3 linked regions of the Pelodiscus sinensis genome follow. The protein of the gene in region 1 interacts with the protein of each later gene in a pairwise test. Links are inferred from orthologs where the notes say so. Each region holds a gene or a part of one and is shown on either strand. Other genes may lie near its edges.

Evidence for each region.
Region 2: the proteins of PLEKHF2 (region 1) and SETBP1 interact in binary tests that used the Homo sapiens proteins (3 or more experiments, as listed by UniProt). The two-hybrid records come from large-scale screens. The link is inferred for Pelodiscus sinensis from reciprocal best matches to the Homo sapiens genes PLEKHF2 and SETBP1.
Region 3: the proteins of PLEKHF2 (region 1) and ACY3 interact in binary tests that used the Homo sapiens proteins (3 or more experiments, as listed by UniProt). The two-hybrid records come from large-scale screens. The link is inferred for Pelodiscus sinensis from reciprocal best matches to the Homo sapiens genes PLEKHF2 and ACY3.

The regions. Positions count from the first base shown.
Region 1 is NC_134712.1:39,749,254-39,757,028, forward strand, and holds the start of PLEKHF2 (pleckstrin homology domain-containing family F member 2), read right to left. Parts: upstream 3,019-7,775; 5' UTR 2,872-3,018; intron 1-2,871. UniProt on the Homo sapiens protein: May play a role in early endosome fusion upstream of RAB5, hence regulating receptor trafficking and fluid-phase transport. Enhances cellular sensitivity to TNF-induced apoptosis.
Region 2 is NC_134716.1:119,857,955-119,865,684, reverse strand, and holds the start of SETBP1 (SET-binding protein), read left to right. Parts: upstream 1-4,726; 5' UTR 4,727-5,764; exon of another isoform or gene 5,765-5,792; intron 5,793-6,657; exon of another isoform or gene 6,658-6,684; intron 6,685-7,730.
Region 3 is NC_134714.1:126,721,117-126,728,628, forward strand, and holds the start of ACY3 (N-acyl-aromatic-L-amino acid amidohydrolase (carboxylate-forming)), read left to right. Parts: upstream 1-4,508; 5' UTR 4,509-4,523; coding exon 4,524-4,705; intron 4,706-7,512. UniProt on the Homo sapiens protein: Plays an important role in deacetylating mercapturic acids in kidney proximal tubules. Also acts on N-acetyl-aromatic amino acids.

The DNA of each region.
Region 1 (7,775 bases):
AAAAACAGCAACAACATTTTTGATTAATTAAGGTTTCACTCATATGAAGACCCTAGTGTTTGGGTTCCCCAGATTTCATATTCACCTAATTGTAGGACTGTGAAAGTATTTGCTTTTTGGCACAAAAGAAGTGGCCCCAAAACTAGGGATTATCAGTTAATCTAGTCTACTACTTGCATTCCCCCCCCCCCCCATTGCCTCGGTATAAGAGACAGCAAGGGGGGGAGAAGCAGGGAGCTGGTGCCCCCCAGTAGCAAGTCTGCAGTGCCGCCTGCCCCCCTCCCCCGCACCACCATGCTGCTGCCTCTCATAGAGGCAGCAACATGGGGGAGAGAGGAGGCTGCCACAAAGCAGTCTCTGCCCATGGCGGACTCTGGCTCGCTGCTGCCAGAGGCTGTTCTGTAGGATGCAAAGCAACCTCTGTAGTAAGCCTGCTCTGCGAGATGCTGTTTCGGGGCAACAGCTCCTGTCCACAGGGGGTCAGAGCTCCCTGTGGACAGAGGCTAGAGTGTTTGGGGGGGCACCAGGGGAGGCTGCTGCAGAGCAGCCTGTGCCCTTGGCAGGCCCTGACTCACCATGGCAGGCCGTGACTGCTTCACGGGATGCAGAGCAACGTCTGTCCATGGGAAGCCTGTTCTGTGGGATGCTGCTTCACTGCAGCAGCTCCTATGCATGGTGAGCTCGGGCCTGCCATCAACAGAGGCTGGTCCCTGGCAGTAGCCCCAGTTCACAGAGGTCTGATCTCCCTAAAGACAGAGGCTGGAGTAGCCTCTGTCCGTGCAGAGCTCGGACCCATCACGGACAGGGGCTGCTATCACCCCATGCTGCTGCCTCTATATCAGAGGCAGCAGCACAGGGCAGCAAGCAGCTGGTCTACAAGGGGAGCTGGTTTTTAACTGTCTCCCCTCGTGGACCATTTCCCACCTAGCACTATGTACTGCTGCCTCTGATACATTGGACCATAGAATAGTCAACTAACCACTAAGAATTCGTGCAGTTAGTCAACTATTGTATTACCCAATATCTAACATCTCTACCCAAAACATTAATCTATGAAAAATCAGAATTATTAGATTAACTGATAAAGTATCCAAGGGGAAGGAAGATCCCAGTAAAGATTCTGAATTCCATTTGAATTCAAGTTTGGTATTTCCATTACTTCCAGAGATCTTTGGGACATTTTTACTTCAGCCCCAAGGCAGGACCTGACAGCCAGTGAAGTCCGCTGCAACTCCTAGCCACAACAGGTTGCAGGGGCTCCCTTTAAAAATCCAGCCAAGATGACAGGTAGGGGGGGACCTGCTGTGGTCCCTATCCAGGATGCCCCACAACTGAAAGCCACCATCAGGAGTAGTGGAAGGACCCTTACAGCTCCAAGCCTCTTCCATATGTGGGGTACCCCACATCTCTAAGCTGTTGCCAGCTGCCAGAGGACCCCACACTTGCAGTCACCATGGGAGGGAATCGTGGAGCCCCAGCAACCACAGATATTGGCATAGGTAGCAGTTATTGAAGGCAGCAGAAGGCTGAGCTACACCAAAAAGCCTTGTATGGCCTTTGGCCCCTCTCATGCTCTGCCCCCAGGTCCCTTCCTGCTTCCCAGAACTGTGCTGTGTGGGGGAGGTACCAGGATAGGGCTGAGGTTAATGAGGGCTGCCTGGTGCTGGGGGGCTATGCAACACTCACATAATACTCAAGGGCTGGGAGGGCACACCACCCATATGTGCTGGGAGGGTGATAACCACTTTGCACTCCAGGGTTGAGGGAAGAAGGTCTCTGGTAAGGATGCTAAAATGCGATTAATTGACTAGTCAGTTGACTCTGGGTTCCATGTGGCACTTCCCTGGACTCCCCAGCTGATCCCAGGTCCTGGGGAAATGCCATAGGGAGCCCAGGGTCAGCTGGGGAGGTCCCAGCTGACCCCGGGATCAATGGCAGCTGCCCCTTTGAATCGTGCGGAGGCAGTATTTTAAAGGGCCAGCCCGCTGCACAGCTGATCTTGGGATCAGCTATGCGGCCTGTTGGCTCTTTAAAACACTGCCTCTGCATGATTCAAAGGGGCAGGAGGGAAGCCCAGGGTCAGCTGGGAACTCCCCAGATGACCCCAGGCTCCCTGTGGCATTTCCCCAGGACTCAGGATCAGCTGGGGAGTCCAGGGAAGTGTCACATGGAACCCACAGTCAACTGGGGACTCTCCAGCTGATCCCAGGTTCTGGGGAAATGCCACAGGGATCCCAGGATCAGCTGGGAATCCCCAGCTGACCCCGGACTCCAGGGCTGCCCCTTTGATTCCCCGCAGAGGTGGTGTTTTAAAAGGGGCAGCCTGCCACACAGGTGATCCCAGGATCAGCTGTGCAGCTGCCACCTTCAGGTTTCAGAGCAGCAGTGCCACTTTAAAGTACCCCTTTTCCCCCCACCCAGTGCTGCCTCTATTTCATATAGGCGGCAAGGGGGGAATTGTCTAGTTGACATTACTATCTGATAAGCAAATTCTTATTGGATAGTCAACTAGTCTTTAACATCCTTCATCTGTGGGCCACACTACCCACATGCCAGGCACTCTGGGACTGCTGGAGGAAAGTCATATTGCATACTCAAGAGTGCTGTGGGGGGAGAAAGAAGGGTTCCACATAGGAGTGAGGTGTCTGGACTTCAGTGGAAGGAAAAATGCCTCAGGCAGAAGTGACAGGCCAAGGGCTAACCATCCTGAGACCAGGGTTCACCTACAACCTGTGTGTTCTAGACCCTCCTCCTTTCCCATTTTGTCAGTTATTTTTATTAAAAGTCAGGGACTTATGTGAATTTTTAGTTGTTGCCCATGACCTGCCTGTGACTTTTACTAAAAATAATAATAACAAAATCTTAGCTTACCTCTTGCACAGCTGTGCACACAGTGGTCCTTTGTCCGATGGTCAGGATGTACAAGTGCCACAACTTGCTGTTGCAGTTAATAGATTTAAGCTTTCTCTGCCAAGTGTTTTTGCAAGTGCTCTGGAGACACAGGATTCTTTCTGTCCATCATCTCAAACCTACCCAGCTGTAGGGATGTAAAATCCCATTTAATCATTTAACTGGGAAACCACATGAAGGGGGTGGGGCAGAGGGTAGGCTGGAGCACCTTCCTTCCCTGCTGCAGGTGGGGGCTATTCCAGCCAGGATGGAGCCCCCCTGTGTGAGGAGCACCAGCCCAGGCTTGCTATATACAGGGGCTGCTCTACCTGGGCTAGAGCACCCCCTTCCCACATTGGACCTTGCTGGGATAGAGCAGCTCCCTGCCTGTAGCAGGTGGGGAGCTGTTCCAGGCCCCATCAGTTAATTGCAACTGGCAAGCCTTGCTGGGTGATGCTTACCAGTTAACCATTCACATTCCTACTCAACATCTTGCCCAGCCACCTAATCCAGGTGCTACCAGGTGAGTTTGGTGAAGATTGCCAAGCAACATGCAGAGTTTAAAAGAAAATGCACTTCATTCCTTGCTGACACCTGCTTTTGTAAGAGGAAAAAAGAGTCATAGAATTTTTTTTATTCAAAAGGATGTTTCTCCACCTGTCTAGATCATGACAGGATTGCTTTTGTATTCTTAACCCACTGCTAATAGTATTAAATAGGTCCACTAATGGAAAATTTTCTCCTTTAGAAGTTCAGTTACTTTATAGCTATGTTTTCCCACTTATTTAACCATTTTTCCTACTGCATTTTCAGACCTTTGTTCCGTGATATTGTCCTTGTTGTGACAAGAGAATACTGATAGTATTCTCTTTATAAGTTTGTGAAAAGGTCAGTCCCATTCCTGGGCCCCTGTTCAACTCAGTCTCACCAATTATTTAGGTACTGTGGCACAGGCCACTCTTGCCCTTGCTGGGGTTTAGATTTCTGTCCCTCAGCTAGAAGGGCTTTGGGGCAGGTGCCCCTTGATCTCCCTAGGCTGGGTAAGCAGACCTCCCCAGCCATTGGCTGAAATGCTCAAGCTACTTGGGGAAGGGAGCCCAAACAGTTCCCGTCAGAGCTCCTGACCTTCCTTGCTATCTCCAGCAACACTGACTTCTCTTTATTAGCATCTCCAAGTCTCTCCTTATCTGCTATCATTTCTCTCACTTTTCCTGGGAGTAGAGAGGAGGGGAAGCTTTTAAAAAGACCCTGTTGCAGCCTGAAGTCAGAGCAGCTGGCCCTAATTGGTTTATAGTAGCCTCATCTCAGCTGCTCCCATTCCACCCATGATAATTCCAGGACCATTTCTGCCTTTTAAAGCTGCCTCTCTCTCCTTTGAATCAAGCCCTCTGGCCTGACCTTGTCACAAGTTATATAATTAATTGCTATTCCATTTTCATTTCTCCCAATTATATTTAGTGTATTTTTTAACTTCCTGTAAAATATGGGCATTATTTTTCCATTATTGTTATTTTTAGTGTTCCTGTCTGACTTGTCTCTAATTTGGCCATATTTTTTTAAACCATAGCACTCCTGTTACTTGGGCTATAATTCTACTCTGAAAAGTATGTGAAGATTTCCTTTTTTTTTTTTTGCTAAGATGCTCTTTTGATAGGATGTTCAAAACTGTCCTCACATGGTTTATTAGTGGTTTACAATTGTGTGTCAACAACTCTTATCAAGCCTGACATATACAATGTACTCCAACTCGTTGTCATAATCTCTATCTAAAAGATGACACATAAAGTATATGCAAGATAGTGATACACTAGTCTTGAAAATCATTGTGTGGTATAGGCCAAGCCCGTTCCCCACTATCCATCTGCCTCCCCTGCCCTCTGCAGAGATGATGTATCAGCTCCAGCTCCCTCCCCTGCCTTGCTGCTTCTGTTAAGGGCAGCAAGGCCGGGAGGAGGGGAGGGGGGGGACTGCTAATGCCTGTGATGCACATGTTATTTCTGTATTCCATTTCTGGAAAGTAGTGAACAGAAAGGATGAAACAACTCTATCAGGTGACTTAATTACTATAGTTTCTTTGACACCAAGATAATCAAAAGCCATAAGGCACATACAGCATGCATTCAGAAGCATCCTTATGTCTGTTTACTCCTGAGTATTATATAAGTCTTGAGCTTATTCAACCTCTACCAGTTATGGACTTTATCATAGAATCAGAGGATAATAGGACTGGAAGGGACCTCGAGAGGTCATTGAGTCCAGTCCCCTGCCCTCATGGCAGGACCAAATACTGTCTAGACCATCCCTGATAGACATTTATCTAACCTACTCTTAAATATCTCCAGAAATGGAGATTTCACAACCTCCCTGGGCAATTTATTCCAGTGTTTGACTACCCTGACAGTTAGGAACTTTTTCCTAATGTCCAACCTAAACCTCCTGTGCTGCAGTTTAAGCCCATTGCTTCTTGTTCTATCCTCAGATGCCAAGATGAACACGTTTTTTCCCTCCTCCATATGACACCCTTTTAGATACCTGAAAACTGCTATCATGTCCCCCCTCAATCTTCTCTTTTCTAAACTAAACAAACACAGTTTTTTCAGCCTTCCTTCATAGGTCATGTTCTTTATACCTTTAATCATTCTTGTTGCTCTTCTCTGGACCCTCTCCAATTTTTCCATATCTTTCTTGAAATGCGGTGCCCAGAACTAGATGCAATACTCCAACTGAGGCCTAACTAGCGCAGAGTAGAATGGAAGAATGACTTTTCATGTCTTGCTCACAACACACCTGTTAATGCATCCGAGAATCATGTTTGCTTTTTTGAAAATAATCAGCATAACGGCATTGCGCAAGAGGGTTTTTCTTGCGCAAGAAGGGGAAGTGTAGACGCTCCTTCTTGTGCAAGAGCCTCTTCTGCAAAAATGGCAGCTCATTAGATATGCAAATGAGGCTCGGCGATATTCCACGCTTAGCCTCATTTGCATATATCTGGCACAAGATCACGCCAGTGTAGACATAGCCTATGTGTGAAACTGATTGTTCCTTCCTAAGTGGAGCACTTTGCATTTGTCCTTATTAAACTTCATCCTGTTTACCTCAGACCATTTCTCCTATTTGTCCAGATCATTTTGAATTATGACCCTATCCTCTAGATTAGTCACAACCCCTCCCAGCTTGGTATCATCTGCAAACTTAATAAGCGTACTTTCTATGCCAATATCTAAATTGTTGATGAAGATATTGAACAGAGCCGGTCCCAAAACAGACCCCTGCGGAAACCCACTTGTTATACCTTTCCAGCAGGATTGTGAACCATTAATAACTACTATCTGAGTACGGTTATCCAGACAATTATGCACCCACCGTAGCCCCATCTAAGTTGTATTTGCCTAGTTTATTGATAAGAATACCATGTGAGACTGTATCAAATGCCTTACAAAGTCTGTATCAAAGCCTAGGTATACCACACCCACCTCCTCTCCCTTATCCACACAGGACTCGTTATCCTATCAAAGAAAGCTATCCAATTGGTTTGACATGATTTGTTCTTTACAAATCCATGCTGGCTAGTCCCTATCATCTTGTCACCTTCCAAGTGTTTACAGATGATTTCCTTAATTACTTGCTCCATTATCTTCCCTGGCACAGAAGTTACACTAACTGGTCTGTAGTTTCCTGGGTTGTTCTTATTTCCCTTTTTATAAATGGGCACTATATTTGCCCTTTTCCAGTCTTCTGGAATCTCTCCTGTCTCCTATGATTTTCCAAAGATGATAGCTAGAGGCTCAGATACCTCCTCTATCAGCTCCTTGAGTATTCTAGGATGCATTTCATCAGGCCCCGGTGACTTGCAGACATCTAACTTTTCTAGGTGATTTTTAACTTTTTTTTTTAATTTTATCTTCTAAACCTACCCCCTTCCCACTAGCATTCACTATATTAGGCATTCCTTCAGACTTCTCAGTGAAGACCGAAAGAAAAAACTCATTATGCATCTCTGTCATTTCCAAGTTTCCTGTTTCTGTTTTTCTCTCCTCACTGACCAGTGGGCCTACCCTGTCATTGGTCTTCTTCTTGCTTCTAATATATTTATAAAAGGTCTTCTTGTTTCCCTTTATTGCCGTAGCTAGTTTGAGCTAATTTTGTGCCTTTGCCTTTCTAATCTTGCCCCTGCATTCCTGTGTTGTTTGCCTATATTCATCCTTTGTAATTTGTCCTACTTTCCATTTTTATATGACTCCTTTTTTATTTTTAGATCATGCAAGATCTCGTGGTTAAGCCAAGGCAGTCTTTTGCCATATTTTCTATCTTTCCAACACAGTGGAATAGCTTCCATTTGGGCCCTTAATAATGTCCGTTTGAAAAACTGCCAACTCTCCTCAGTTGTTTTCCCCCTCAGTCTCGATTACCATGGGACCTTACCTATCAGCTTTCTGAGCTTACCAAAATCCGCCTTCCTGAAATCCATTGTCTCTACTTTGCTGTTCTCCCTTCTACCCTTCCTTAGAATTGTGAACTCTATGATTTCATAATCACTTTCACCCAAGCTGCCTTCCACTTTCAAATTCTCAACCAGTTCCTCCCTATTTGTTAGGATCAAATCTAGAACAGCTTCCCCCCTTCTGAAATAAAAAGTTGTCTCCAATGCAGTCCAAGAACTTATTGGATAGTCTGTGCCCCGCTGTGTTATTTTCCCAACTTATATCTGGATAGTTGAAGTCCCCCATCACCACCAAATCTTGGGCTTTGGATGATATTGTTAGTTGTTTAAAAAAAGCCTCATCCACTTCTTCCACCTGGGTAGGTGGCCTGTAGTAGACTTAGCCTAGCATGACATCTGCCTTGTTTTTAATCCCTTTTAGCCTAACCCAGAGACTCTCAACACT
Region 2 (7,730 bases), on another chromosome or scaffold:
CATCTAGACAGAGGGGTGACAAGGCAAAATTCAATGATTTTGCGAGCCTGCACTGCAGGTCACTATGCCACTCACTGAAATTTAGTCTGGCTGCCCTTCTGTGACTATGGAGGGGCTCTGGTTCACATTTCATAGCATGGTGACTCTGCAGTGGGAATGGAATTCCAGACTACTCCAGCAGCAACTGTATTGACTTAGAGGACCACTGGTTAAAACTGATCGTTCCTTTTCCCCTTCTCCATCTGTACTAGTGCAAAAAAACTTGGGGGAGGGGCATGTTCACCCCACCGTTCCCCCTCACTGGTGCCACTGTTTTTAAATCATAGCTTCCTGTACATTCTAGGAGCAGGCTGCAAACAATGTTCCCTCTCATTTTTCCATCCATATGCAGAATAAATTTTGTTATGTGCCCTGAGACATATGTGGATGTGCACCACCAGTAGAAACACATGCTGCTGACTATGGGCATCCCACTAACCAGCTGGGCAGCACCTGAATCTCTCCTGAATGGCCTCCCAGCTGATCAGCAGAGTGCCCACAGCTGCAAATAATTTTAATTGACACATTTGTGATGTTCCATGTTAAGTTTTTGTACTATTGCATATCAGTGTCATATATGAGCACCATATCTTCCTTCTGCAAATCATTACAGGGAACACTGGTTGCAAAGGAGGCTACAAATATCATTAATGCCAGTCAACATGGTTTCATGGAAAATAGGTCTTGTCAAACAAACCTGTTATTTTTATCTTTTGTTTTGTTTTCTTGGACAAGATTACAGGCTTGGTTGATGAAAGCAAGCGTGTGGATACAGTATATATGATTTCTCCAAGGGCTTTGACTTGGTACCATGTGACACCATGACTAAGAAACCTGCATTATAAATTAACAGAGCACCCATATATCTCAAAACAGAGTTTTTAACTGGGAGACCTCAATGAGAAAAGCCATTAATAAAGAGAAGTGCAAAGTACTTCACTTAGGAAGGAATAATCAAATGCACAGTTACAAAATGGGGAATAATTGTCTGGTGGCGGTACTACTGAAAAAGGATTTTGGGGTTATAGCGAATCAGAAAGTGAAAATGAGAGGCAGTTGCAAAAGAGGCTAATATCAGTCTGGGGTGTATTAACTAGAGTGTTATATGTAAGATGCAGGAGGCAATTGTTATACTCTATTGGGCAATGGTGAAGTTTCAGCAGGATCTGGGTACCACAACGGAGGAAGGATGTGGACAAATTGGAGAGAAGTCAGAAGCAAGAAACAAAATGATAAAAGCTTTAGAAAAGTTGACCTCTGAGGAAAAGTGTGTGTGTGTGTGTGTGTGTGTGTGTGTGTGTGTGTGTGTGTGTGTGTTTTATAGGGCATGTTTATGTAACCCACACACCTTCTGGGTGTGGTATATTGTCCCATGTAGTGGCACTTAGACCACTTAGAGAAAGAAATGAAATGAGGAAATGAGTTTTCTCTCCAGCCATATCTGAGCGTGAGAGGGCTTTATAGCTCAAGCACTATGATCCAGAGTTCCTAGGTTCAGTTCCATTTGTTGGTGTTACACTGAGCCTTGAAAAAGAGGACTGGATGGAGGGGTCCCTACACAGCAAAGCTATTCTGGAATAATGGCTGTTGTTTGGAAATAACTATGCAAGCGTCTACAAAGCAATTCCATTATTTCACAATAACGGGCAACTTATTCCAAAATCTGTAAATCTCATTCCATGAGGAATAATGCCTATTCCAAAATAGCTACTTCAGAATAAGGCATTTATAGATGCTCCACTTCTGCTATTTTGAAATAGCACCTCACCAGGGCCATTCTAAGTTATTCCTCTCCAGTGCCTCTTGAGGTTCGAAACTGAAGTAGCACGTCTACATTAGGGGAAGCCTGCCTCAGATTAATTTTGAGGCTTCCCTGCAGTGTAGACATAAGCTATTTCAGAATAAGCTATTTCGGAATAACTATTCTGGAATAGCTTATTCCGAAATAACTGTGCAGTGTAGACGTACCCAGGGAGCGGGGAATGTGATAGCAGTATTCAAATATGTTAAGGATTATTGTAAAGAGGACTGTGATCAATTGCTCTCTATGTTTACTGAAGTAAGTCAAGAGGAAATGGGCTTAGTCTTCAGCAAACAAGATTAGGGGGCTGGAGCACATGACCTATGAGGAGAGATGGAGGGATTTGGGCTTATTTAGTCTGCAGAAGAGAAGAGTAAGGAGGGATTTGATAGCAGCCTTCAACTTCCTGAAGAGAGGTTCCAAAGAGGATGTAGAGAGGCTGTTCACAGTAGTGACAGATGGCAGAACAAGGAGCAATAGACTCAAGTTACAATGGGAGAAATCTAGGTTGTATATTAGGAAAAAACTATTTCACTGGGAGGGTGGAGAAGCACTGGAATGTGTTACCGAGGGAGGTGTTGGAATCTCCATCCCTAGAGGTTTTTAAGTCTTGGCTTGACAAAGCCCTGGCTGGGTTAATTTAGTTGAGATTGCTCCTGCCTTGGCCTCCTGAGGTCTCCTCTAGCTCTATGATTCTAGGGATTTCAGAGGGAAAGAACAGAAGAGCAAACCACCCAGTATCCATCCCCTGCCACCTACTCCTAGCTTCCAGCAATCCAAGGCTATGGCCACTTGGAGTTGCATCCCTGATCATCTTGGCTAATAGTCCTTGCTGATCTGATCTTATCTATTTCTTTTTTGTAACCCCGTTATCGTTTTGGTCTGTACAACATCCCCCAGGAACAAGTTATAGAGGCATAGACATGGCTAGTTTATGCCCCTTTGTTCTTGTGCCATCATTGTTATTTAGCTTAAATAGCTCTTCTCCTTCTCTGCGCCCCCTCCCCCATATATTTATAGAGAGAAATCTGATCCTTTCTCAGCTCTCATTTTTGTAGGCAAAACAAGCCACACTCTTTTCTTTTCCTCTGTAAGACAGGAAATCCCTGGATCTTCTTAGTAGCCCTTGTCTGGACCTCTTCTAGTCTGAATTAATCTTTCTTGAAGATGGGTGATGTGATGGGGCGTCTACCCCACTCTGGCCCTTTAAGGGTAAAACCCAGCCCTGGGGGAAGGCTGAGAGCCTGGAGCCAGCAGCTGAGGCAAATACAGCCAATTAGGGCCCTGCTGGGGCTGTATAAATAAGGGCTCCTGGAGGCAGGAGAACAGATACTCTTTCTGGGGAGCAGGAGGTACTTAGCTGCCAGGGAATCTAGTAGCTGCCCCAGACGGAGTGGTGCTGGGGAGTTCTGGCCTAACCTTGCTCCCAGACTGCAAGGCCAGAGTGTACTAGGGCTGCAAGGGCACAGCCAAGATAGGAAAAGGCAGCAGGTCCACACCCCTTGCCAATGAGGAGTGGCCATTTCAGACTGCAGTTTGCCCTTCAGGTAAGGAGCTAGATGATGGCTGGCAGTGGGTCACTGAGGCAAGGTGGGCAGAGGGGAATTGGGGGTTCCCTGGGAGGGGAGGACCCCAGAGTGCAGGGGCACTGACATAGGACAGTCTGGGCATAGGCCTGTCTGAGGAGGAAAGGCATCATGGCCAGGAAGGGACACAGAGCGGAACCAGTAGAAAACCTACCCCACAGGCTGGGCCACCAACCAGCAGAGGGCACTCTGAGGCAGGAGTGCTGATTCCCTGGGTGCCCACCCTGTGACAGGTGACTAGTGTTGAAGGGAATAAAGAGAGGGAAAGTTTGTCCCCTGCTTAGCTGTGGTCAGCTGTGGGGGGAGGGGGGTTGTAGACACCCTGGCAGGAAGGCTGTGAAGGCACATCAGGTGATAGCTGGGAGTCTTTCCTCATGCATGAAAGAGCAGAGAGGTGTGAACTGGTCTAATGTTCTCTGCATTACCATAGCTCCCAGGGCCCTACTGTGACACCAGGTTTCCGTTGTTGTAGGGTCAACAAAAAAGACAAATCTCTGCCCTGATCCTCTTACAATCCAACCTGTGGATCACAAACCATGTGTAGGCAGGGCTGAAAACCATTATAGGCTCTATTGCTCTATTCCCTCCTAGGGAAGGACTGTTTCACCTTCGAGGGAGATGTAGAGCCTGCACACACCCTCATGCCCCAGAGGGGTGGATTGCCCCATTTCAGGTGGATTGCCTCAGAGCCTAGCCAGAGGGGCTGGTGTCTGTCAGTTCAAAAGGGAGAAGCTCCTTGTATCACTGATACACCCTGATCCTTTGCATGTGTGCTACAGGCCGGCTCTTAATCCAAAGTGGTGCCATCTAAACAGGATGGGGTATCCCAAGCAAGTCCATAAAATGAGGCACACAGGATATGTTTAGGCTAACACTTGCCTGCATGTGGAAGCCGAGGGGTATGCTTATTGCTGTGAAAAGTCTCCACTCTGCAAACCTTTACTCACCTCTTTAGCCCTGACTCCCCCTTACTGTTTTCAACAGAATGACTCCTGCCAGGAGTGATTGACGGGGGTGTCTAAGGCCTGGGTTCTCCAGCCTGCAACAGTCCCCTCCCCACTAGAAAGAAGTGTATAAACCATCATAGAGCACCCATGGATGCTCTGCTTTCTAGTACATCTCTGGGGCCCGCCTGTGGCAGGTCTCTGGGGCTGGCCAGTGGGGTAAATGTCACTAATCCGGATCTCTTCCCCCTCTCTGTTTCTTTTCTCCGTTCTCCCCTGCCCCCAACACTGCTGCTCTTGTGTCAGGCAGTGGCAGTGTTGAGTTCATTAGCGGAGCGCTGAGCCTTCCAGCCCGGCTGTGTGTGTGTGTGTTTGATCCTTCCTTTCAAAAACAAAACCTACTACTGCCGCCGCAAGTCTCCGGGAGCGAGAAAAACACACAGGGCACGGCGGGAGGAAGCCAGGGGCGCGGTGGATCGGTTTGAACAACTCCGCGCCGGCCCTGCCTCCTGGAAAGCCACAACAAATCACCCCAGGCAGCCGCCGGGAGAGCAAAGCGCAGCCCCCGGGCGTAGACCCCAGCTCTCCTGGAGCGGCCGGGCCGGGCAGCAAGAGCGCGGATCCTTCCTCCCCCCGCGCCTATTAACCCGCTCCTCCTCCTGCCTTCCCCTGCTCCGGGACTCGCGCCGCCGAAGGACTCCGAGGCGCGTAGGGGGAGCCATGGAGCTACCAGCCATCCCAGAGCAGCGCTTCAGCCCCGATTAAACTGCCGCGATCAGCAACCCCCCCAGCTCCGCCACCGTCCCCCTCTGCGCGCCGGGGGGGGGGGGGGGGGGAAAGGGGGAACCGCGTAAAAAAAGGAGCCGCTGCGTCTATCCACGGAGCCGCTCCATCCCTCCCAGAGCCAGGCTCTGACCCGGTGCCTGGGTCCCCCCCCCCTCTCCTTTTCCTCCTCCCCCTCCTCTTTGCCTTCTCCCCCCCTTCCCCTCCCCCTTTGCTCCTGTCCCAGTTTATGTCGGAGCCTGCTAAAATTAGCCGGGACTGTGAATTGGATTGACTCCGGCTCGCGAGACGCCATTTTCCCCCCTGCTCGAGCGATCCCTCTCTCTTTATCTCCCTCGCCTCTATCTCTCTATCTCCGTGCGATCCCCTCCTCTCTCCCCCCCTCCCCGCCTGCCTCCCCCCCCCCCCCCAGCGGCCCCGCTCGCTCCCTCCCTCCCTCTCCTGCGCTGCGCGTGTTGCACGCCCGTGTGCGCCCCTGCTCTGACAGATGAGCACCGCCATGGCTTTGCCGCAGCACCAGCAGGACCGCCGTGGGGGGCTCCGGCGAGGGATTGGAACCGGGATCTAAACGGGAAGAGGCGAGAGGCGGCTGAGGAAGCCGAGAGGCGAAGGCAAGACGCTCCAGTCTGGGGGCTATGGGTTAGTAAACACCGGCCGCGATGGGTGGAAATCTCGCGCTTGCTGATCTGGATTGCACTGGCGTAGTGTGTGCGCGCGCGCTGATCTGGATTGCACTGGGGTGTGTGTGTTGCACTGGTTTGTGTGTGTGTGTGTGTGTGCTGATCTTGATTGCACTGCTCTGTGTGTGTGTGTGTGTGTTGCACTGGTTTGTGTGTGTGTGTGCTGATCTGATTGCACTGCTCTGTGTGTGTGTGTGTGTGTTGCACTGGTTTGTGTGTGTGTGTGTGCTGATCTTGATTGCACTGCTCTGTGTGTGTGTGTGTGTTGCACTGGTTTGTGTGTGTGTGTGTGTGTGCTGATCTTGATTGCACTGCTCTGTGTGTGTGTGTGTGTTGCACTGGTTTGTGTGTGTGTGTGTGTGTGCTGATCTTGATTGCACTGCTCTGTGTGTGTGTGTGTGTTGCACTGGTTTGTGTGTGTGTGTGTGTGTGTGCTGATCTGATTGCACTGCTCTGTGTGTGTGTGGATTGCACTGGTTTGTGTGTATGTGCTGATCTTGATGCGCTGGTGTGTATGTGTGTGTCTGACTGTGGGATCTTGATTGCACTGTGTATGTGTGTTTTCTTTTGGCTGCATGCAAAAGTTAATGTATCCTGCCTTCCCACCCCATCCTTTGGTGACTTTGCAATGGCGCGGGAAGGTCTTTATTTTTGTCGTTTCTATTCCGCGTGTCTGTGATTTCCTCCTAATCCGGACTCCCCCCCCCCCCCCCAGTAGATTGGGTTTCAGTCTTGTGCTCCTGGAGTGGGTAGATTTTGTAGGAGTTTGCATGGGTGTCTTTCATCCCCCCTCCCCTGCACACACCTCTCCCTCCCTTAGTCTGGCTGAGCCCCTCTGATGGTGGTGTGGGGTAGGTGGCAGAAGTGTGTGTGTGTGTGTGTGTGCGGGAGGGTTGGCAGATTCTTCCCTCCCCTTTGTAAATTGCAGGTTAAGTGGAGCTAGAGAGCAACATTGTAACCTTGCTTGGCATTTTTTCTTTCCTTAAGATAGCCGAATTTTGTAATTGCCATAGAGGAGATGGGGGGGGGGGGGCTGTTGTGGAAGGGGGGGAGCAATCGTAAAGATTTCAAGTAGGGAATGAAAGCCCTTGTGTGTTGGTGTCCCCTTCCTTTACCTATCACACCAGCCCATTGAACAGTCCTGGCTTTATTTTGACATTGAAAAGGACACGCACTCCATAAAAGCAGCATTTCCCAGTAACACACAAGTGCGTGTGTGCAGAAAGCCAGGGGAGTGGGTAATTAACAACGCGGGATCCCCCTTCGTCCTCCCCACCCCTCCCTGTTTGTTTCAGAAGTAAACCGGGTTGTTAATAATACCCCCCGAGGTCACCTCCCTGCAATGAACCCGGGGCAGGACTGGAGTTTGAGGCAGTGTAAAAAGCCAGAGGCAGTTGGAGGGGAGGGGAGGAGGGAAAGGACGATGGTTTGTAAGATCAGTCTGCAGGTTAGGGGAGCTATTGTCAAATCCCAAGTAAAATCTCTCCCTCCCTTCCCTGCCTCCCTGGGAGAGCTGGGGCAAGTTTGGTTCGCCTGGCCGGGCGAGGGAAGACTTATCGCGCTGCGCTGCAAGCTCTGGGCTGATGTCCCCTCGTGTTGTGATGACCGCGCGGGAGAGTGTGTGGGTGTGTGTGTGTGTGTTGTACGTGGACTTGTGTGCACGCAGCATGGGGCGCCCGGCGTAGACAGGCCCCGGCGGGACAAGCGTGTTGTGTCGCGCGCGCGCCTGTGTATTTATGTCTCCAAAGGCAGTTGAGAGAAGGATTTCCGATTCGTTTCCGCTTCCAATACACCGCGCTGATAATCTCAGGGCGGGCGTCGGACGCGAACAGGGCACGCTGCTGCCAGGGACGCTGCTCCGGGGGCGTCGCGTCGGGGGGCGAGCCTTGCCCCCCCC
Region 3 (7,512 bases), on another chromosome or scaffold:
CTCTGATCTTGGAGGTGAGTTCTTTTTCCAGGTCTTCCCCCTTCCTCTTGGTGTTCCTTTCTTTCCTTCTGCTTCTATTACTTGTGCTCTTCTTGCTGATCTCCTTCTTGGACCCCAGTTTATATAGTGACGCCTGAGTCCTGCTTAGCTACACCTTAACCCAGTGTTTCCCAAATGGTCTTCTGCAGAACCCCGGGGTTCCATGAAGCGAAAATAAGGGTTCCGCGAGAAAATTCCTTTACAATAACATTTTATGATTTAAAAATAATTCATATTTAAGCATTTATGAATTTTATTGAAAACAATTTTCATTTGTGTTTGCCACGATAAGTGCCCCTGTGTAATGCCAGCTTAGCCAGAGAGTGGGGACGATGATGTCACTACTCAGCGTTGTTGTCCATATATTAGATTGTTATTGGGAGTTCCGCAAAATTCTTTCAAGTTTAAAAGGGTTCCGTGGCCAAATAGAATTGGGAAACACTGCCTTCACCAATGATTTTTGTGTGATTATAACATACTGTAACAGAATTACCTAACCAATCATACCCCACCATCTTGGTTGATTTACACCTAGCAAAATTAATTATACAGCAGACAGAAATGGTTACAAACCGGACAGAGATCACACAGACAAACAATAGGAAAATGTGAGGCCAATAATCAAAGAATGAGGATTCCACAACCACAACTATTGATAAGCAGTTTCTTGCCAGACGAAATGCTGTTAATTAAGTTTTCTTTGCCCATCTTGAGATCTGTTTTCTTTATCTGGTGACAATGGGGGCCATTAGGACAAGGTCGCCTTTTCACAGCCTAGTGTGACACTATTTTAATGCAATTTAGATGGAATGTGAGGTTATGACTCCAGGCTTTCCAGCTAATGGCTGCTGCTCTCCACTCTGGCTGTAGAAGAAGGCTTTAGTTCATGCCTACCAATATGGCTACAGGCCTTCCAACATGGTTACAGAAAAACGATATTGCTACACCACTCTGCTTAGAAACCATATTGCTTATGGAACCTGTGCACTGTGTGTGAAGTGTGAATGAGAAATACCCAACCAAAAAGGCAGTTGAGGATCCATGATCTTTTCAGGCAGACAAAGACCCTGCGAGCAGATACATTAATGGACACGCAGCCAGAAAATCTCTCCCTCGCTCTTGGCCAAAATGTAACATCACAGCAGAAACCTGGGACATGGCCGAGTCTCCAGGAAGCGGTCACCTGTCCAGCACTCCAGCCACCAGCGAAATCTGAAGTAATCTACACGGCACTTGGCAGCCTGTCTCCAGACTGCCAGCATGACTGTGATATGTGTGAGTGTGGGTATGTCTACACTAGAAAGTTAGTTCGAACTAACGGACGTTAGTTCGAACTAACTTTCCTATGCGCTACACTAGCGCTTCGCTAGTTCGAATTTGAATCGAACTAGCGGAGCGCTTAGTTCGAACTAGGTAAACCTCATTTTACGAGGACTAACGCCTAGTTCGAACTAGCTAGTTCGAACTAAGGGCTGTGTAGCCCTTTAGTTCGAACTAGTGGGAGGCTAGCCCTCCCCAGGTTTCCCTGGTGGCCACTCTGGCCAACACCAGGGAAACTCTATGCCCCCCTCCCGGCCCCGGACCCCTTAAAGGGGCACGGGCTGGCTACGGTGCCCGTGCCAGGTGCAAGCCTGCCAGCACCCAGCTAGCAGACCCTGCACCTGGCACGGCACAGAGCCACCCACCCGATGCCCCCCAGCCCACCCCCTCTTGCCGGGACCAGGCTGGCGGCTCCCGGGAGCTTGCCCTGGACCGCAAGAGGCGGGCACCTTCCTGGGCTAGTGCGGACATCGTGGACCTCGTCCACGATCTCCGCACTAGGCACAGGAAAGTGGCCGGCTAGGGCAGGAGAGCTGCCAGCCTGGCCACCCAGGACCAGGTGTGCATGAAAATCAAGGGGGTCCACTGAGACCCCCGACCCTGAGCCCTGAGCTTACAATGGCCGTCCTGGGTCAGACCAAAGGTCCATCTAGCCCAGTAGCCTGTCTGCCAACAGCGGCCAACCCTAGGGACCCTGGAGGGGATGGACCGAAGACAATGACCAAGCCATTTGTCTCGTGCCATCCCTCTCCAGCCTTCCACAAACTTTGGGCAGGGACACCACTCCTACCCTCTGGCTAATAGGACTCCATGGACCCAACCTCCATCACTTGATCTCACTTCCCTTTCAACTCTGTTCTAGTTCTAGCCTTCACAGCCTCCTGCAGCAAGGAGTTCCACAGGTTAACTATTTGCTTTGTGAAGAACAACAACTTTCTCTTACTAGTTTCAAGCCTGCTACCCAGTCCTTTCCTTTGGTGTCCTCTAGTCCTTCTTTATGGGAACTCATGAAGAACTTTTCTGAATGCACCCTCTCCACCCAACCCCTGCTTTTAGAGACCTCTATCCTGTCCCCGCTCCATCTCCTCTTTTCTAAGCTGAACAGTCCCAGTCTCTGTAGCCTCTCTTCATCTGGGACCTGTTCCCAACCCCTGATCATGTTAGTTGCCCTCCCCTCTCCCAGCCTTTCTCTTCCCCTCTCCCACCTCCTTTTCCCAGTCTCCCCCAGTTTTTTTCAATAAAGACAGAGTCAATGTTGGAAGAAACGTTATCTTTATTTTGTACATCAATAAGAAGGGGGGCTAGGGAAGGGCAAGTGGAAGGAGGTGAGGGAGGAATGGGGTACGAGCCCCCGATGGGGAGGACTGGGCTGGCTCTGCGGGCTTCTGGGGGTGGAAGCTCTCCTGCAGCCCCCCAATTACTCCCTCTCCCCAGATGGCAGCCTGCGGCAAGTGCAGCCGGGCTGATGGCCGAGTGGTGTGATGTGCCCAGTGTGGGCACTCAGGGCACTCCAAGCCAGAACTTCTTTGCAAGCGGGGCACCCCTTAGAACTGTGTGTCCGGGGTGGGGGTCGGGACCCTTTAAGCGCAGCCCTCGGCTAGCCTGAGACAGTATCTCCATGCTCTAAGTCCTCCTTTTATGCCCTGCCGGCACTGCTTCCGGCCATCCTTAAGCCCTGTTCAGAGTCCACTCAATGTGGACTTACTAGTTCGAACTAGCAAAACGCTAGTTCGAACTAGTTTTTAGTTCTAGATGCGTTAGTTCGAACTAGCTTAGTTCGAATTAACTAATTCGAACTAAGTTAGTTCGAACTAGCGCTGTAGTGTAGACGTACCCTGTGTGAGTATCACTTGACTCTTAAGAATCTGTGCCAATAAACAGCCCCAGAAGCCATACTGCTCCAGGCCCACCCCTCCTTGTCTGGGTTTGTTCCTCAGAAGCTCTGAGGAAGTGTAACACAAAGGGATTTGGGGCTAGGAAAGTGAGGGGGGAGCTGGGCAGGAGTCAGGAGGAGCCACAGAGCTGGGAGGGGGCAGGGCTGTGAGAGCAGGGGGGAGGGTGAGCTAGGGGGGGTCAGGAGGGAAGGGCTTCAGCAGAGGGGGGGAGCTTGGAGCTGGAGTTGCAGGGCGGCTGTGAATCAGGATGGAGGGGCATTGGCACAGCTGCAGGGGGGCGGGGCGGCGCTTGGATGGCAGTGGCGCAGCTGAGCTGCATTAGAAGAGCTGGGTGTGGTGGGGGAGACAAGAGTGGAGCAGCAAAGGGGCCTGTAGGCAGCAGCTGGGCTGGGCAGGAACAGCAGGGGCTGGAATCTAGCTTGCAGGGACTTCCTCTCTCTTCCACCAGCTCCTGCCGATCCCCTTATCTCCCTGTGAGGCCGGGGGGCACAGGAGGGAAGCTGAGAGATGTGGGCAGGCTTCTAATAAGCATGTGGGGCCTGGACCTCAAGAGATATAAATGGCGTGATACCCATGTGCACCCACTGGGGAGCTGTCCCTTGCATGCTAGGCTATGGTGGAGCCAGAGAAACCCAGTCACTGCCCCCCAAGCTTCCCAAGCGTTGGGCTTCATTTCCTAGGGACTGTACATCCAGCACCTGCCCTCCCCAAAACGCCTGTGATCTGGGGAAGGGTTGCCCCCCACCAGCACTATGGGTGCAGCAGGTCTTTGGGCAGAGGTCACTGCCTGCCAAGGGAAATAATTCACCCAACTCCTGACTGTGGGAGGTAAATATTAAACAAGGGCTCCGTGGCTTGGACCCAGAGCAGCTTCTCGCACCTGGGTGCCCCAAGAGAGAGGGTTATTGGGGGCCTTGACTGGCAGTGGACAGGATCAGCGCGGGGGTCTTTATCAACAACCTGAGAGGTGAGTGGTCAGCAGTCTCGGGCTCTGCCTTTGGCGGGAACATTTCTCTATTTCGCTCAGTGTCCCCTCCCCAGCACCTGGCAAAAAGAAGGGGGCGCTCGGTGGAATGGAGCCAGGCTGATCAAAGCAAGGATTTGTGTACACCGCCAGGCATGTCAAACTGGCATCTGGAGGGCCGCATGTGGCCCCATTGAAGTTTTTTGGGGCCCGCCAGTGCATTTTCAGACAGACGGAAGTGCGGCCCGCTGGCCGCGTGGAGCACGTGACTGAGTGCAGGTGACGCCGGCTGGGCAGCTCTGCGCATGGCCCCCAGCACGTGGTCACAGCCAACCAGCCACTGTGCGCAGGGCCCGCAGCATGTGATCACAGCCAGCTGGCTGCTTACTCTCACTACCCCAGCGCCTAAGGAAGCGTGGCAGTGGCAGCAACAGCAATGTGACGACGGTGGTTCCAGAATCCAGGCATTAAGTTGTGGGGGGCTGAGGTATGCCTGTCTCTGGGGGAGGTGGGATGCATTAGGTTGGGAGGTGTCTGCCTCTAGGAAGGGAGGAGGCATTAGATTAGGAGGAGCTGGAAATCCTTGGCTCTGGGGGAGGAGGGAAGCATTAGGTTGGGGGCGGGGGGCCTGGAAGTTCCTGCCTCTGGGGAAAGGGGTAGGCATTAGGTTAGGAGGGGGCTGGAAGTCCTTGGCTCTGGGGAAGAGGCGGCACTGGACCACAGCTCTTCTACTCTTCCCCTTGTACAAGCATACAATTAAGTGTTATTTGCATGATGTCATGTACTGTTTCTCAGATAATATGACAGCATACAGGTTTTTTCCCTCGAATGGAATAGAATCAAGAGGACTATAATATATACACCCACAAGGGACTGATTTGTGGTTCTCAGTTTAATTTTCATCTTCCCTGAGTGTTAAGAACCTAACTGTACTACTGTGTTAATATTTGTCATATGATTTCCTTGGAATGTAGGCATTGCCAAATCAGCCAATGGGATCCTCTTGTCTAGTCCAGTACTCTAGGTACAAAAGTGGCCAATACAAGATGTCACAGGATGGGGTATGAGTGTGCTCGCACATGTCCACAAGAAACTATAGTCGACAGTTATCCCCGGATAGGGAATGTTGTTTCTTTACTCCCATCATTTTGAAACATGACCTGAAACATGGGTTTTAATCTGTTGTTTATCCTACCTATGGTATTTTAGATGTTCTCATTATCAATAAGCCTTTATCCTTTAAAAAAAATCTTACAAACTTTTGACCTTGCGGCTATTTAATGGCAGTGAGTTCCACAGATGAATTGGGTAAAAAGTTTCCTTCCATCAATATTAAATGTGTTGTCATTTAAGTAAATGTAAAAAGAGATTCAACGAAGCCAGGTGAGGGTGACTCATTAATCTTTTTAATGGCATTACAATACTTTCAGTGTTATTTCCGTTCCTTAAGGATTTCACTCTCCCTCTTCTCTTTTTAATGTGTCTATTACACATTAAGCAAATGTTCTCTTTTTTGTGTGAAACTGGTCAAAAGGAAAGGAAAATTGGATCTGTCTTCCATTGCAGCAGCAATGCTAATGACTCCCTTTTCACATTTTTCAAAGTGTTAATTATTCTGCTTTTTTAAAATATGGTTTCAACCATTGGTCCTGGTATTCAAGACCATACTCTTTTTTTTTAAATTCCAGGATACATTCCTAGTGCTTTTAAGATAGAAACAATATTCGCCACTCCCCAGTCCTCTGGGAAAGAACTTATTTTGATGAGATTGCTTAACTTCATGAGTAGCTCACCTAGTTCATTCGGAAATTTCTTCCAAACCCATGAGTCATTTCATCTGCACCTGTTGCTCTTAGATTTATCACTTTGTTCTAGCTGTCTCATCTTAAATACATCCACAGAAGTTGAGGAACAGTTTCTGCAGGAAGGAAATAACTTAGCTTCTTTGCAATGTCTTTATTTTCCTTTAATTTTCTGTTTACTCACTGCTAGTCTAGCAGACTCAACAATGTCTCTCAGGGTACGTCTACACTACAACGTTAATTCGAACTAAGCTAATTCGAACTAACGGATCCAGACTAAAAAACTAGTTTGAATTAACGTTTTGCTAATTCGAACTAGCATGTCCACACAGAGTGGACCCTGAACCATGCTTAAGGATGGCCGGAAGCAGTGCCGGCAGGGCATCAGAGGAGGACTTAGAGTGTGGAGATGCTGTCTCAGGCTAGCAGAGGGCTGTGCTTAAAGGGTCCCGACCCCCACCCCGGACAGACAGTTCTCAGGGGTTTCCCGCTTGCAAAGCAGTCCTGGCTTGGAGTGCCCGGACTACCCACACTGGGCACATCACAGCACTCGGCCATCAGCCCGGCTGCACTTGCCGCAGGCTGCCATCTGAGAGTGGGGGAAATTGGGGGGTTGCAGGAGAGCTTCCACCCCCAGAAGCCCGCAGAGCCAGCCCAGTCCTCCCCATTGGGGGCTCGTGCCCCATTCCTCCCTCACCTCCTTCCACTTACCCTTCCCTAGCCCCTCTTCTTGATGTACAAAATAAAGGACAATTGTGTTAAAAATGGAATCTGTCTTTATTGAACAAAACTGGGGGAAACTGGGAAAAGGAGGTGGGAGAGGGGAAGAGAGAGGGTGGGAGAGGGGAGGGCAACTAAAATGATCAGGGGTTGGGAACAGATCCCATATGAAGAGAGGCTAAAGAGACTGGGACTTTTCAGCTTAGAAAAGAGAAGACGGAGGGGGAACAGGATAGAGGTCTCTAAAAGCAGGAGTTGGGTGGAGAGGGTGCATACAGAAAAGTTCTTCATTAGTTCCCATAAAGAAGGACTAGAGGACACCAAAGGAAAGGAATGGGTAGCAGGCTTCAAACTAGTAACAGAAAGTTGTTCTTCACAAAGCAAAGAGTCAACCTGTGGAACTCCTTGCTGCAGGAGGCTGTGAAGGCTACAACGAGAACAGAGTTTAAAGGGAAGTGAGATCAGGTCATGGAGGTTGGGTCCATGGAGTGCTATTAGCCAGGGGGTAGGAGTGGTGTCCCTGCCCAAGGTTTGTGGAAGGCTGGAGAGGGATGGCACGAGACAAATGGCTTGGTCACTGTCTTCGGTCCATCCCCTCCAGGGTCCCTAGGGTCGGCCGCTGTTGGCAGACAGGCTACTGGGCTAGATGGACCTTTGGTCTGACCCAGGATGGCCATTGTAAGCTCAGGGCTCAGGGTCGGGGGTTTCAGTGGACCATCTTGATTTTCATGCACACCTGCTCCTGGGTGGCCAGGCTGACAGCTCTCCTGCC